3 linked regions of the Caenorhabditis elegans genome follow. The protein of the gene in region 1 purifies or fractionates together with the protein of each later gene. This does not show direct contact. Each region holds a gene or a part of one and is shown on either strand. Other genes may lie near its edges.

The links. The genes of interacting proteins can lie anywhere in the genome.
Region 2: the proteins of alh-13 (region 1) and glb-12 fractionate together in Caenorhabditis elegans (co-fractionation; one large-scale study listed by BioGRID). This does not show direct contact.
Region 3: the proteins of alh-13 (region 1) and pycr-1 fractionate together in Caenorhabditis elegans (co-fractionation; one large-scale study listed by BioGRID). This does not show direct contact.

The regions. Positions count from the first base shown.
Region 1 is NC_003284.9:12,780,823-12,787,665, reverse strand, and holds alh-13 (Glutamate 5-kinase), read right to left. Parts: upstream 5,273-6,843; 5' UTR 5,256-5,272; coding exon 5,184-5,255; intron 5,139-5,183; coding exon 5,032-5,138; intron 4,275-5,031; coding exon 4,118-4,274; intron 3,249-4,117; coding exon 3,127-3,248; intron 2,962-3,126; coding exon 2,709-2,961; intron 2,592-2,708; coding exon 2,216-2,591; intron 2,144-2,215; coding exon 1,596-2,143; intron 1,546-1,595; coding exon 1,083-1,545; intron 978-1,082; coding exon 667-977; 3' UTR 519-666; downstream 1-518.
Region 2 is NC_003280.10:10,729,298-10,733,507, reverse strand, and holds glb-12 (GLOBIN domain-containing protein), read left to right. Parts: upstream 1-1,855; 5' UTR 1,856-1,945; coding exon 1,946-1,984; intron 1,985-2,130; coding exon 2,131-2,397; intron 2,398-2,456; coding exon 2,457-2,542; intron 2,543-2,613; coding exon 2,614-2,713; intron 2,714-3,241; coding exon 3,242-3,469; intron 3,470-3,522; coding exon 3,523-3,603; 3' UTR 3,604-3,704; downstream 3,705-4,210.
Region 3 is NC_003284.9:12,144,941-12,149,277, forward strand, and holds pycr-1 (Pyrroline-5-carboxylate reductase), read left to right. Parts: upstream 1-1,891; 5' UTR 1,892-1,904; coding exon 1,905-1,971; intron 1,972-2,332; coding exon 2,333-2,583; intron 2,584-2,632; coding exon 2,633-2,845; intron 2,846-2,896; coding exon 2,897-3,109; intron 3,110-3,214; coding exon 3,215-3,306; intron 3,307-3,679; coding exon 3,680-3,725; 3' UTR 3,726-3,831; downstream 3,832-4,337. Other genes in the region: M153.5 (ShKT domain-containing protein), read left to right, coding at 1-89, 346-575, 909-1,000.

The DNA.
Region 1 (6,843 bases):
TATACACAATCTGTTGAATAATTTAGTGTTTTTTTTTCAATACCAGTACCTTACAAGCATCGTTCTTGTTACAACAAAAAATTTGGTACGGGAAGAGGACCAGGAGAAAACAGTTAGAGAGTTGATTCTAAACTGATCTGACGCCATCTTGCAAAATAATTCATTTAGCATTCATTTAATTATTCAAAAGTGCGGAAAATAGGTAAAAACAGTTAAAATGAAACCATGCGGCGGAGTTGCGAAATGGCACGCCGAAAAATGCAGTTCCCGCATTCCTTGCGCGCCATCGTTGTGGATTAGAATGCAATATCCCATTATGTACCTTACCCTACAAAATATTCTGTGTTCTAAATTTTTGAACGTTTGATTTCGAAATTCATGATGTATCACAGCTGCAAAAATTGCAAGTTAGAAGAATAATTAAGCTATTTGTGTTCTGTGCAGTTTTTGTTCGAATGGCTGCATTTAGTCTAGACTTGAACATTTTTCAATGAGTGCAACAAATTTTAAATATCAAGTATTTCATGAAAAATTTATTGAATAAAATATATATTACTTCCTTGTTCTATACTTTGAAAGGCACGTACATACAAACAAAATGAGTCCCACAACCAGTTATTAATAAGTTAAACGTTTTCGTGTAATAAGTTCTGAAAAAACAATAGCTTATGCGGTAGCTTTCTTCAATTCTCCAGCAGCATCCAATGCTCTATAAACTTCGCTTGGGTTGAGATTCTCGTGAAGGTAAGAGTATTTTCCATTTTTGAAGTCTTCAACCAAATGTCCTTCTCCTCTCAACAACCATTTGGTGGTCAAAAGTCCTTCAACTCCAACTGGTCCACGAGCATGAATTCTTCCAGTAGAAATTCCAACTTCTGCTCCAAGACCAAATCTGTACCCGTCAGCAAATCTAGTGGAGGCATTATGGAATGCACACGCACTGTCTACGTGTTTCAGGAAGTGTTCGGCTGTGTTGGCTGAAAAAATAATTTTTGCATATTAATTGTTTTGTTTTTACTCGAAAAAAACAGGGCTTAGCTGCGTAATCTTAAATTTCAGTAAGCCGAACTCAAATGACTCACTGTTCTCTGTGATAATAGATTCAGTATGACCGGATCCGTAACGGATAATATGCGCAACCGCCTCTTCAACATTGTCAACAACTTCGAGCGTACACTCCAATGATCCATACTCGAATGACATGCTCTCTGCCGGTGGTGGGGCAAATTTCAGAAGAGCTGCAAGTTTTGGTCCGGCATGAAGCTTTACTCCTTCTGCCTTAAACATTGAGCACAAAGAATCAAAGAACGGCGCGGTTGCAAGATCCTTATGAATCAAAATAGTTTCAGCTGCATTGCACGCTGATGGATAATCGCATTTCGAGTCGCGAACAATTTGAATGGCCTTCTGCTCGTCACAGTCCTTGTCAATGTAAACGTGGCAAACACCTTCGGCGTGACCCAACACTGGAATTCCCTTGCTTTTTTCTTGCATTGAACGCACCAAGTCGGATGATCCTCTTGGAATGATCAAGTCGATAAGATCCTGCAAAAATGTTATGTTATGTTGTTTTGGTTCCGGATACAAATATTTACCTTGAGCTGAAGCAAATCCGCCACATCTTCTCTTGATCTGACCAAAGTAACCGCGTCCCTCATTTCAAATCCATGTGTTCCAAGAGCTTCCTGAACAAGAGCATGCAATGCTTTGTTGCTTTCTTCAGCTTCTTTTCCTCCCTTAAGAAGAAGTGCATTTCCTGAAGCCATAGCAAGTGAAGCGACTTGTGGAAGACAATCCGGGCGTGATTCGAAAATAACCATTAGGCTACCGATTGGAACAGTGACCTGCTCTAGAAATAGGCCCTCAGAAATTTTGACCTTCTTGAGAACTCTTCCAACAAGTGTCTCTGCGGAGTCGGCAATTGTATTAAGGCCAGCATGCAAGTCTTGAATCTTCTCTGGTGTCATTTTCAATCTATTCAGGAGTTGTGGATCGAGTCCAGCAGATTTGGCATTGGCAAGATCAGTTTGATTAGCTTCGATGATATATTTTTCCTTGTCAACCAGGAGAGCAGCGAGGTGGCGAACCATTGCACCACGTTCTTTGTTGGAAAGAGCAGCTAGTTGACGACCAGCGTCGCGGCCTAAAAGTAGAAAAATTGAGTGATTAAAAACATTCATAGGACTAAAGTTTTTTTAAAACCAGTATAACATACATTTCTCTGCGACCTCCTCGATTGGTGGTCCTTCATACCCCTTGGTGTTGCAGAACATGGTTCCGATCTTCTTTCCCGCCACAGCATCGGTGATAGCATCTTGCGCGAGCCCATTTGTAATAACTGTGGTAACTCCGTTGTTAAGAGCGTTTACACAGGCCGTAACCTTGCTCTCCATTCCTCCTGTTCCAAATTTGCTGTTTGCTCCAAACGTGACCCCCGAGTTTTCAGATGGAACGTATGTGTAGAGAAGTCTAGATCCTTCGAGATCTGGTGGTCCAGTATAAACTCCATTGACGTTCGATAAAATTATAAGTAGCTCTGCTTCAATTTCAGCGGAAAGCCTCGCAGCAAGTGAGTCATTGTCGGAAATATGCTAAAAGTTCAAAAAAGGTAAAAATTATTGAAAAAGAGCGTGATGTCATGCGGCAATTATACACAACAATGTAGCTCACTTAACTTCCTTCCTGGTCAACTGGACGGACGAACTCACCATATTCAACTTTGGATCTGGTGCCACTGCGTCATTTGCGTTGACAATTGGGATAATGTTGAGTGAAAGAAGGCTTTCAATTGTAGCCTGTAGATTCTTTCTTCTTTGATCATCATCGATGTCTGGCTTGGTCAATAAGACTTGTGCTACAGTAATACCGTATTGTTGGAAAAGTTGTTCATAAAGAGACATGAGTCCCGGCATTCCAGATGCTGCACACGCTCTTTTATCAGCAGTCATTCCAGATGGACCTCTACAAAATATTCTCATGGATTATACCTATTTGGAACTGGAAATTTATTAAAAATTTTAACCAGTAGAAAAAACACAAAACTAAAACTAAAAACGGCTAATATATTCAATGGGTATGGCCCGCTGAAAATGTTTTTGTAAAACAATCTATCATTTTTTAACTCACCTGAGAGTTTGTCGCATGCTCATGCTCATTACAAGTTCTTGCCGAAGTTTTTGTCTTCCGAATGCCACAGCACCTGATGACACAATAAGCATCTGTCTTCCAGACTGTTGGAGCTCGGAAACCTAAAATGTTTATTGAACATTGAAAATTATATTACCACATATGTTTGTGTGTTTTTTCTCCAAAATCTTAATCTTCTTATCAGGGTTTCACAGTTTAGGAAGTGGGAAGTAGGTATTTTCAAATTTTCATTAACCTAAATGTAAATGTTTTTCGGTAATCTTAGTATTTTTTGTTTGAATATTTATTCCTATTCTCTTTCAACGTAGTTAAGTAAAATATTCTTCCTGAATTCTATATGCGACATTCAAAATCAGGTGTTATCTGTACATTTCTAATTTTTGGACAACCCCCAATCATCAAGTAACGAAATTTTCCAACTTCACCTTAGATAAAATCAAATTCAAAAGCGTAAGTGAACCAAGGATTTGTTGTCTTTTTGCTGTTTGTGGTATTAGTTTTTTTTTGAAGAATATATTTTCTTTTTCAAATTCTTTGAATAAGAAGCTTAATTTAAAAAAAACTGACTTCCAGAAAAACGAGGCTACAGGTGAATTCCCACAATTCAGAAATTTGGAAGTAAAAATTCAAAATTCAGAGTTTTCTTGTTATGCTGGTTTGCTGATATCTCATCTGACTTGGTAATGAGTCGAAATTGAGTCAAAATTGTACTATTTTATTCAAAAATATAAGGAAAATTTGACACGATATTGTCTTGTTTTTGTAATTGCAATTTAGTATCATTTTTATTTTTTTTTCAAAGCTCATTTGTTCACATTTTTGTTGTCTTAAATTTTTTGTTCAAGTTTTTCATATTGCGTGAAATAAAAAATGTAGGTAATACTAAAAAGCATACAACTTCCCGAAATAGCATTACATAATTGGAGGCTTTTTCTTCCTCTTCTCGTTCCCAATAAACTTTCAAACTGACCTGTTCAACAATTGAAGCCAATCGTCCAAGTGCGAGACCACACTCGTCCTCACGTGTGATCACTGCACTTCCGAGCTTCACAACAACTCTTTGCGCTTTTTTCAAGTCATTTCTCGTGTTGATGAGTGGATGCTTCTGCCTTGTCTTTGTGCTGTAACTATTAATCGGAATTCGTTGCTAGGTGTACTTTCGTTGACTCGAACCCTTATCAGTTTTGATTTGGGTAGAGACAACTGTGAATCCACGAATAAATCGTTGATACCTTGACGTTATTTCATTTTCATTCAAACTCAGATTAGAAAGATGAGCGTGCGATTTAAGAACGATTCCAGTTAAAAACTAGAGATTTCTGTTTCTCAGCTCACAATTCAATAGATAACTTCTTAGCTTGAGCTACTTTTGAGTTGTTCTAAGAAATATATCTTAACATGACTACATTATACGATGTGGTATTATAGCGGAAATTCGTAATTTTGTATTCTGCTTCTAATGAATTTTCGAGATTAAAAAACGATACTGATAGTTTAGTTTCATTTTAATTCTTAAGTTTTTTGTTTTGAATAATGCTTCCTCATTCACGTTATAATATTTGTGTGGTAAATGTTTACATGTCCTTTCCTAGACCTGAAAATTTAAGATATTCTTCCGAATTTATTTATATCCGGCCAGAGTTGCCAAAATGGAAAATGTTCTTAAATTTTAAAAGTCACCCAAACCAAAACATATTTTATAAATAAATTATGTGTGTTCAACTTTAAAAAAATACTAGAGATGGGGGGGGGGGGGGGGGGAAGGGGTAACGAATGAACCTTGGATCAGCTCTTAGGCTCGGTGAAAACTATATTTTTTTCTGCGGAAAATTTTGAAAACTGGTTTCACACATATTTAGGTTTATTTTAGCCACACTCACTCACCAGTAATTTCCATTTCCAACTCCAACTGGAGTTGCTCCTACTGCTGTGATTGGGCTTACTTTCTCGTATGGTGCCAATGCTGATGATCTCGTTTTAATAAGTTCCGTCTGCAACTCCTTGTTTTTAATTTTAAAGAGGTATTGTAGTTTTACCTGTGTTGGGCGGAGAATATTAATATGCGAGTTTCTGAGTGGAAGTCGCAGACATCGAGTTGCGCGGAACATCTTGAGTTTGAGTGTCTATAAATTTGAAATAAAAAACTGAAAAGTAGGAAGTCAAAAAAAATTTTGGAAATAAAGAAATCAAGTACAATGTTTAAAGAGTTACCTGCATTTTTAAAGTATTTAAGAATCCGTTAGGCCAAAGAAAAACGTTAGTTTAGTACTACAAACGATTTCAATTCTTAATCTTAAACTCTGTTATTCACGAATTTTTATAGCTAAACTATTATGCCCTATTGCACCACATTCTGAAACAAAGACAGTTGTAAAAAATAGCGAGAGGCAGAAAAAGAAGAATTTTTACAAGCGGGGGATGACCCTAAGCGATATGGAGAAACAAACGTTGTGATTTTACTCCCCCTAGTCATCGTATATCTTCCTTCTTTCCTCCACGCAGCAATCCGGTTCCGCAGTCCGTTACCCACGTCCCCCCCCCCCCACCTCACGATTTTTAATTTCCCCGTTCAATTTGCAATTGATAATCACCAGACCTATCCTTGTAGAGGACACACGGTGAAAGTGGTGCCACGTCCTCTATTTTTTTTGAATCCTGTTCAGAGAACATGAATGGCATTCACGTGAAAAGGTTCAAGGTTCGGAATGTGGGATTGGTACAAAATGCGAAAACGTTTCGGGTACAACTGATAAGAGACAGGAGTAACTTTAGAGCCAATAAGTTAAAATTGAGAGGACTTGGTACTTAGATTGGATATTTTGTTGAATGCAATCAAAAGAATACACTTAAGTCATATTTCTCCAGACTTTGATAATTTAGAAACTGGATTATTTTTTAACTAATACCAGCGATAATTTCATCTGTTATTATCAAAAAAACTACAAGCCGAAATTTGAATTTAGCAGAGCACCTAGACCGCTGTTTTGATTTTGCATTTTACCCCTTGAATTTTACCGATTACCAGCCAATTTGAGAAAAAAAAAACGAATTTGCGCAGGGATAAATTTCATAATGCAGTTTTTTTTGCATCTGGCTAGATTTTCTACGGTGAATCTGGAAAACTGTTGCATTTTCTCAATATTATGGATAATTTATGATTGTTTTTATTTTTCCGCATATCATGTTAACACAGTCAGCTTATTTAAAAATTCACCATGCATATGTAGTGGTGGTTTTATTGTTGAAATTCTACATTATCCCATCGGCTGGTTTTTATGAAAACAGAATTTCAAGAAAAACTTCCTTAAACTAGTAGGGATTAAACATTTTGAAACAAGAGATGTTTCAATTAGTTCAAAGAATCACACCCCTCAGAAATATTATCATTTTGCACGCACTTTACATTAGGTTTCAAAATAATTTGTCTATCTGTCAGACATGACTAGAAACTGGATTGTATTTTTGTTAAAATAACACAACATTGAAAATAGACCGAATTCGAATGTTGAAGTAAAAAAAAGGAAAATAAAAAGGAAAAACTTAAAAAAAATTAAATAAATTGGATTGTGGTCAACACCATATGACTATACTAGACGAATGTGAGTTGGGTCACTCCTCAAACGCCACAATTCGTGCTTTCCGATAAGATAACAGTGTCAGGCTCAGTGTTGCTCGACTCCGCCCCTGTTGTCTGTG
Region 2 (4,210 bases), on another chromosome or scaffold:
ACACTCATTTCCATGTTTTTTTCACCACTTTTTCACGTTTTGTTAAGGTTTCTGTTATATCAGAAGGAACAGGTTTTAATTAGGTGTAACCTAGAGGAAAATTTTTGAGTTTCAAGTAAGATTATGCCTATTTTTCTTCCATACTTGTTTCAATTCTCGTTTTCAAAAAATCAACAAAAAAAATTCCTGGAAAATTAAATATTTCTCTTTTTTTTTCTTTTTCAATTTTTCTTGGAAGTCAGAACTTTTGGAATTTGGAGAGCGGCAAGCAAAGTGAAAACAATCAAATTTCTGATCAAAAACTATAGCAAAACTATCTAGTTGAGCATGAGAATTGATTATTTTCTGCAATGCGGGTGCTTGAATTTGAAAGATTGAATTGTTTTCTATACAAATTTCAGACTATTTTTGTTCATGAAATCTGCAGTTTTAATATTTCCGATTTTTACAAATTAACTGGAAATTTCTGAAAATATTCATGCTTCAATTTTTAGATATTTTCAGATATTCTGGGTGTCAAAATGGACATAGTATTCGTGTATAACATGTTCTCAGCTTTTAAAAAATATAAATTTCAACCCAAAAATCGCAATTTCATTTTTTCTCCATTTTTTTGGAGGCAAACGTCCACTTTGGTTTTTGAGAGCGGAGAACGATTTTGGAGATTAACCAACATTTCTGATAAATTCTTTAAAAATTCAATTGTGGACTTAAAATACCGTGGTTTAACAAAATTTGAAGTGAAAATGTTTAAAAAAATTAAATGGGCAAAAATCAAAAATTTGAGAAAATAACCAGAAACTAGGAAGCCGGTAGACCATGAATTGCTACTGCCGTTTATAAATCTGCCCCACCAGCAAACTATGTTCCAAAATAACTTGAATTCAAACTCCACAAATTTTGTCCCGTTCCAGAAATCTTTGATCCACTGAACTTTTACGTGCACCTGTTACACTTTTCCCGCCGGATCTTGAGTTCAAGCTTCTAACAAGTAATAAAACAGCCTACGTATAAATACATTTATAACATTAACATTCGAAAAACCAATAGTTCACCTACTTCCTTCTCTTCCCTTATTATTTCTTGTCAGAACTCTCTACTATAATTTCGCAGTTTTTTGTCACTTTGTTTATCCCACTTCTTCGTATTTTTCCCTCTTCTGCCTTCTTCTCACTTTTTTAAAGCAATCATTTGGTTATATTCATACTTTCTATAAGTTTTTGGGAAGAAGAACACTGATTTTTGATATGCGTCTTTTCTTTCGGAAAAGATCCCCGAGAAAACTCAAGTCTAGTCTCAGATTTTGACAAATTTAAGTGTTAAGCTGACAAGGAAAAGTTTCGATTTTTTTAAATGTTTCATCGAAAATTAGGATTTTCAAAAAAGCTCATTTTAATAGGTCCCCACAAAAATTATACTGCTTGGAAGCATTTTAAACAAGGCAAATTAGATTTAAAAGATTTCTCAAAATCTACAGTTTTTTATTATGCTTTGGGTCATAGGAAAAGTTTGAGATCTTTTCAAAACAAAATTATTAACCCTAAAAAATCTAATTTTTTCCACAATGAATATGGCTAAATTTTCAGTTAGGATTTATTTGATTTCCAAGATCTAACTGGCCATTTCCACAATTTAAGCCAAAATTCAAATTAGTTTTCAGCCTTGTGAACGCGAATTTATGTTGCTCTGTTCCCCGTCATCCCATAAAAAATCAGCCGTCTTCCGTTTTATGACTACTTCAACACACAAAAAATCCAATCATCATTCCATTGCCACGTCATAATTGAGGCTTATTCAATTTGTCTTCTTCATGTTTACTCACTCCTTCTCCTTTTTCAGAGTCTTTCAATTTCAAATTTTCAGAACATTTCCTGATTGAGGTGATGAGAAGTTGTGCTTAAGATTTTTAATAAAACAAGTATCGTTATAAATCTATATATTTTCAATGGGTGCCACATTATGTGCACCGAAAAAGAAAAAAACCGTGAGTTTTGAGCTTGATTCGGAAGATGAACATTTCTCAAAAATTTTTGGATTTTTTACATTCTTTTCAAAAAAACAGTACATAAGAATAGAGAACTACAGTACTCTTTAAAGACGCACAGAACATTTTAAAAAATTATTTTCCAGCAAGTCGGAGCATCTTGGGTCGGAAACGAATCTGAAAATCCATTTGACTTAGCCCTCAATAAAAAAGACCGTACTCTGTTACGTGAAACTTGGCAAAGGCTAGATGATCCGAAGGATATTGTTGGTCTTATATTCTTAGATATTGTCAATGATATTGAACCGGACCTCAAGAAAGTGTTTGGCGTGGATCGGGCTCCGCGAGCCGCGATGCTGAAAATGCCGAAATTCGGAGGGCATATTCTAAGATTCTATGAGTTCATGGAGCAGGTTAGCTGTCTAAACTACATTTTTAAGAGTATTTTTTGAACTCAAATTTATTATTCCAGCTCACGTCAATGCTTGGCACGTCTGAAAATCTGACGGGTGCATGGCAATTGGTACGAAAAACGGGAAGAAGTCATGTCAGACAAGGGTAAGTGCGCAGGTGCAAATGCCGTCACTTTGTATGATTATATAGTCCAATGCCATTTGATGATTTTTCAGTTTCTTGGAACAAAATCAGAACCAGATGGAGAAGAACTATTTCGAAATTGTTATAAATGTATTTATCGAGCGATTAATTCCATTTCTGACGGGTGAACAGGTGAGATTGTGGGATCAGTTAGGTCAAGCTAGTTTGAAAGTTCAACTAATTGATTTGTTGGAAGGTTTATTTGGAGTACAACTCAATCAAATTATTTTCTAATAAAGGAATTAATTGAGCTTGATTTCTGAAAAAATCTATATAATTCGAAAAAGAAATTTTGCGGTCGAGAAGCATTTTGAAAATTTTCCCGAACGTAGATTAGGATGTTTGTGAGCGAGGAAATTACTTGAGCTGTTTTCAAAAAAATGTTTGTTTTTCTTTTTAAAAAAGGTGCAATTTTTGATCCAGTTGGGCAAAATAGTTGCGGGTTTTTTCAAAAAATTAGAATAATATTTTCAAATAAGTATTTTTAAATGTTACTTCAGATCGGATTTTTTAGTTCTTTGTGATCCTCTTCCTATAAATTCTTGTAGATACCTATTCGAAATAAGATTGTTTAAATTAAATTGGTTTTTTTTTCTAAAAAAGTTCATAATCTCCCCTCGTAAAACAAAAAACCTTTTCACCCAACAAATATGATTTTAGGAGCTTCCATCATCAGAAGGAAAAGAGAACAAAAAAGTGCGATTTGCTCAAAACTACACCACATCTCAAATCACAGACGTCTGGAAGAAGTTCTTAAACACAGTAATTAGTCAAATGACTGACTCATTTGAATTGGAAAGAGCAAAACAGAAGAGTGCACAAACAACAAAAGCCTTGGCTCCACATCAACATATCGAGATTTCGGAAAGGAAGAAGAAGAGGGTGGCGGTATGTTATTAGTTGATATCATACATTTGTTAATTTGATATTGGCATTTTCAGGAAAAACAAAGCGAGATTGAAAATACGGCAGTTTCAAATGAACCAAAAGCTCAAGAGCAAATGTTCGAAGATCCATTCTGAAAGTATATTTTTATAGTGATATACCATATAAAACATATTGACACTGAAAAAACACTGATAAATAAAACTGATTAAATTTATTGAATAAATGATTTTTTTTTGATTTTGTAGCACATTTAATGCACAAAAATGAGCTAAGCTTTTTTTGCTATTGCGTCACACAAAGACATGCAATTTTGGAGACAAAATAGCATTGCTGAATTAGGTTTAGATACATTTTTATGTGAATTGAAAGTCAGAGCCAATTACGTTATAGGCCGATTATTTTTCGAGTTTATGTATATGAGGTTTTATCCTCTTGAGGATCTATTCCATTTCGGTAAGAGGATTCAAAAAAAGTCAACTAACAAATCACTAAAAATTCAAAATACATTTTTCCGTCGGCAACATTTTAAAATCGTAATTATTTTGCCAAGATATGATAGTTACCTAAGCGTTTTTTGTGCTGTAAGTAGGACGTCAAGTTTGAAAATGCAAATTTCATTTTTCACCAATTTTTCAAACGATGTTAAAAAAGAGTATAGAATATTGCTTAGTTTGCTCTCCAGCAACCACAATTCACGATACTGAACAAGTTTTTTTTTAACCAAAATATTTATTAATTTGT
Region 3 (4,337 bases), 640 kb from region 1:
TTGGTAGTGAGGAGACATTTGGAGGATCCAATGAAAGCTACATGCATAGATAGACGAGGAGGAGACTGGTGCCAAAAAATGGCAAACAGGTGAGATTCACTGGAAATTTAGGGAAAAAAAGAGATTAAAACAGACACATATTTATAACCAACTTTAAAACATTTTCGAGACCGGCAAAAATATGAATCTTGAGGAATGACACTAGAAAACTTGAAAAATTATAAATAAGACTTGAGCATAAAGTTATTGATACCTTTGTATTTTTGCTAAGCAAATTCCATTTTGTATAACACAATTAAATCAGAAAAAAATTATAAAACCTCCACTACACTACAATTGCTTCAGAGAGAACTATTGGCAAGACGCAAGTTTCAGCACAATTGGTGGTTGTGGTGCTTTTCCGTCGGCATTCCGAGAGTGTCGAAATACATGTGGATATTGTTCAGCAACAATGCAAATGACTGTTGTTAAATATGACTATCGACTGGCAACAAGCACACCACGATGTGATATTAAAACATATTTTGCCAGGACGGATGTTGAAATGAAAAAGCGATACAATCCGGCTAAGAAAGGTGAGTGGAGATATATATTAATAAAAAATAGCATTATACATTTTCCAAAAATTGCTCAAAGTTTCACGCGAACAGAAAAATGACTCACAATTTAATACAGGTTTAGTTAGTCAAATGACGTCTTGGAAGCTTTTTTTGTGACTGCATCGAAAAATAATACTCGAGCGAAGATGAATAAAATTTTTAAATTATTTTAGAAACGTTGAGAATTGGCCGGTGGATGACTGAATATGTAGCTAATCAAACTGCCTATGAAAAATGAAATACAATGATTTTTAAAAGAAAATATTGCATGTTAATATGACCTTCCAAAAATTGTACAGAAATTTCCAGAATTCGACCCACTTGCCCGACTAATATGGAAAAGGCCAAAAGACACCGATTACTTCGTTGTTGAAGATCACAATTACGAGGATTTTATGTAATTATATAAATCTATTTTAATACATGTTACGATACTCAGAATTTATAAAGTTGTTTTAAAATTTATGAATAGAAAAAAAAACATTTTAAAAATGATCAATATAAAATGGGGAAACAATGCAAGCGAACAGAAAAATGCATCGGTGAGCACTACCAAAAACCGATAACAACAGTGCGCTCTCTCCGTGTGGTGATGATGATGACGTGGCAATACGATAATAAATCTGAAAACAAGGGAGAGAGGGGTTAGAGGTTATATCGTATCTCTTTTCATTTTCTTTTGTATATTTGATAAGATTAATGCTATATAAGGATATCACAGGATTCAAAGAATTCTGTTCACTTTTCCCAATCGATTCTAGAACCTGCCCTTTGTTCTGTCTTACGTGTTTTTTCCACACAAGCTTTGCTTCCTTTTTCACCATTTTGCGTAACATTGCAACGCGTCTGCTGCCTAAAATCGGCTATTAAAATGTCATTTTATCAACTAGATCTCCCCAATATCTCTTCCTTTTCCAATTTCGTCATGTTTTCTGTTAACTTTCTTGCTGAAAACTGTTTTTTTTTGTATTTTTTGAATCCTTAATTAACAGTTTACTTAACAGTTTTATTAAGCTTTTCAATTTCAAAGTATACATGACCAAAAACGAGTGAATATGGACACTTGATTATTATCAGTTATCAGTATCACGGTTTTGTTATCAAGCGCAGTGTTTTGGCCCCTTTCTCTCTCTCCCTCTCTCGTCCTTACTTCATGTGTTTGCATAGTATTGATAACTTGTTCGTGTTGTCAGGAATCGGTGGTCAGCGGTCACTATTAAGCACTCTTACTTCTTTCTTGTTTAGATTTTTCTCAAAATGTCGACTTTTTTTTTGACAAACTAAGCTTTCAGATACACACTGAAAATGAAGATCGGATTTATTGGAGCTGGAAAAATGGCTCAGGCTCTTGCCAGAGGCCTCATCAACTCAGGTAAACATTATTGGTTTCAGAAATTATTGATTTCAATTGCTAATCTTGGGAACTGTTTTTATAAATCCAAAGCCTGAAAGTATACTAAAACTCGAAACCTAGTCTATAATAAAGTTGCTTCATAAAGCACGTAGAAGTAATTTTTTCTAGGAACTGGTATTGGTAACAGCAAACAGTCCAATTAAAGCTAAGTACAGATTAAATTACAGATTTTGTTAGATCTAGCAAGTCAAATGTTTATGAGTTCTGTTAATATTACTGTCAACTACTGAGTACAATTAAAAGTTCAAAATTAAAATTTGTTAAAAATTAATTATGCCATGCATAACCAATTCCAAACTAACACCTCGCAAAATTGCAGGCAGAATCACAGCAGACAACATTATTGCCAGTTCGCCAAAACGCGATGAAGTGTTCCTTGACCAATGCAAGGCACTAGGGTTGAACACTACTCATGATAATGCTGAAGTTGTGCAAAAAAGTGATGTTGTGTTTCTTGCCGTCAAGCCAGTGCACGTGAGCAAAGTTGCTTCTGAAATCGCTCCAGCCCTTAGCAAAGAACATTTGGTAGTTTCTATTGCACTTGGAATCACTATAAGAAATATTGAATCGGTAGGCTTACTTAATTGAATAGATTACTCGGTGATATTGAAATTTCTAGCTTCTCCCAACGAAATCTCGAGTGGTACGTGTCATGCCAAATACCCCATCAGTTGTTCGCGCCGGTGCATCAGCGTTCGCCATGGGATCTGCTTGTCGTGATGGCGACGCCGAAACTGTAGAGAAACTCTTGAGCACTGTTGGTTTTGCAGTGGAGGTTCCAGAAATTCATATCGACCCAGTAACAGGACTCTCCGGCTCTGGACCAAGTTATGTAAGTACAATAAAACTTTGAAATTTCAAAAATGTAATAATCTTTTTGTAGATGTTCGCTGTGATCGAAGGGCTTGCTGACGGCGGTGTTAAAGTTGGACTTCCACGTGACCTTGCTCTGAAGCTTGCGGCTTATACTTTACTTGGAGCCGCAAAGATGGTTCTAGAAACTGGTATTCATCCAGCTCAGTTGAAGGATGACGTTCAAAGTCCTGCAGGTTCATCAGTATATGGAATGCACAAATTGGAGAGTGGAGGGCTCAAGGTACATACCGTGATGCGATAGAGAGATGATGCTTTAGTTTCAATGAGCATAGTACATGATTAGAATAGGGTCACTTGGCCTGATAAAAATGTGATCACGTTACAGGGTGTTCTTATGGATGCTGTCGAGGCGGCTACAAACCGGTCAAGGGCTACTGGAGACAAGGCGTTGCCAAGAGACTTCCGAAATACCGAGATGTGAATATAAGAGACTTACACATTCATCGTTGTTCTCTAATTTTGTCCAATTTTATTTATCTATCTCTTTCTCATTCTCTTGACCGCTCTTTAATTTATTTTCCTGTCCTCCCGCCCACCTATCCTTTGTTACGCAAAAAACGTGCCTTCCCAATATGTTCCCCTTGCTCCTAAAACAGGTGTCTGCATGTAATCCGGAAATAGACCAAAAGTAAACTCAGATTTTAATATGGTTAACACATGTATTAATACACAATTTAGCAGATTTAGTTCTAAGTTAGAATAATTTTTGTGGTCTCTCCTTTTTACCTTTTGTTTACTTTCGTTAAAGCTAAGGAGGTGAAAGCTGGAATTTCATATAGCTAAATTTCAGAGAAACGGAAAAAATGATGGAAAGTGCACAACAACAAAGGACATGATAAATTCGCACAAATTTTATTTCATTTATTTTAATTTCGGATTTGAAATATCTGGAAATACGTATTTCATTTAGGCATATTGTCTCTAATAAAATAACCAATCAAAAAAAATTTGAATAATATTACAAGAACATTTTTTAAAAGTTTTACAAGCGTGAAAAAAACTATTTATACTGACTACAGCGCATGCAATAAAGTTGTGCAGAAAATTTACAAATTTCCCTGTCAAAAAATTTTAAGTTTTAGACACCGGACGGTTCAATTTTTGCATTTATTTTTTTTTTTTCGTATGTAATTAAATTAAATAACTTGTTTTTACAAGGCCAAGAAAGTTGTTGTTACGGTATAATCTAGCGTCTCTCAGATATTGGACAGAATCAAGAAGCTTTTTATAGCTCTCTAAAAGTGTTTTTAATCACAATTTTGAAGCTAATGTTGTTGTATTTAACTTCTGGTCTTATTCTGACTTCTAAAAAAATCATTAAAAATTGTATGAATCTTCCTAATATGGTTTAAACAAATTTTGTGATATGACTTGCACTTGGAATTGGTACAATTTCAGAGTCAGTGTGAAAAATTTGCCCATAAGATCACATAAACTCACATAAACTT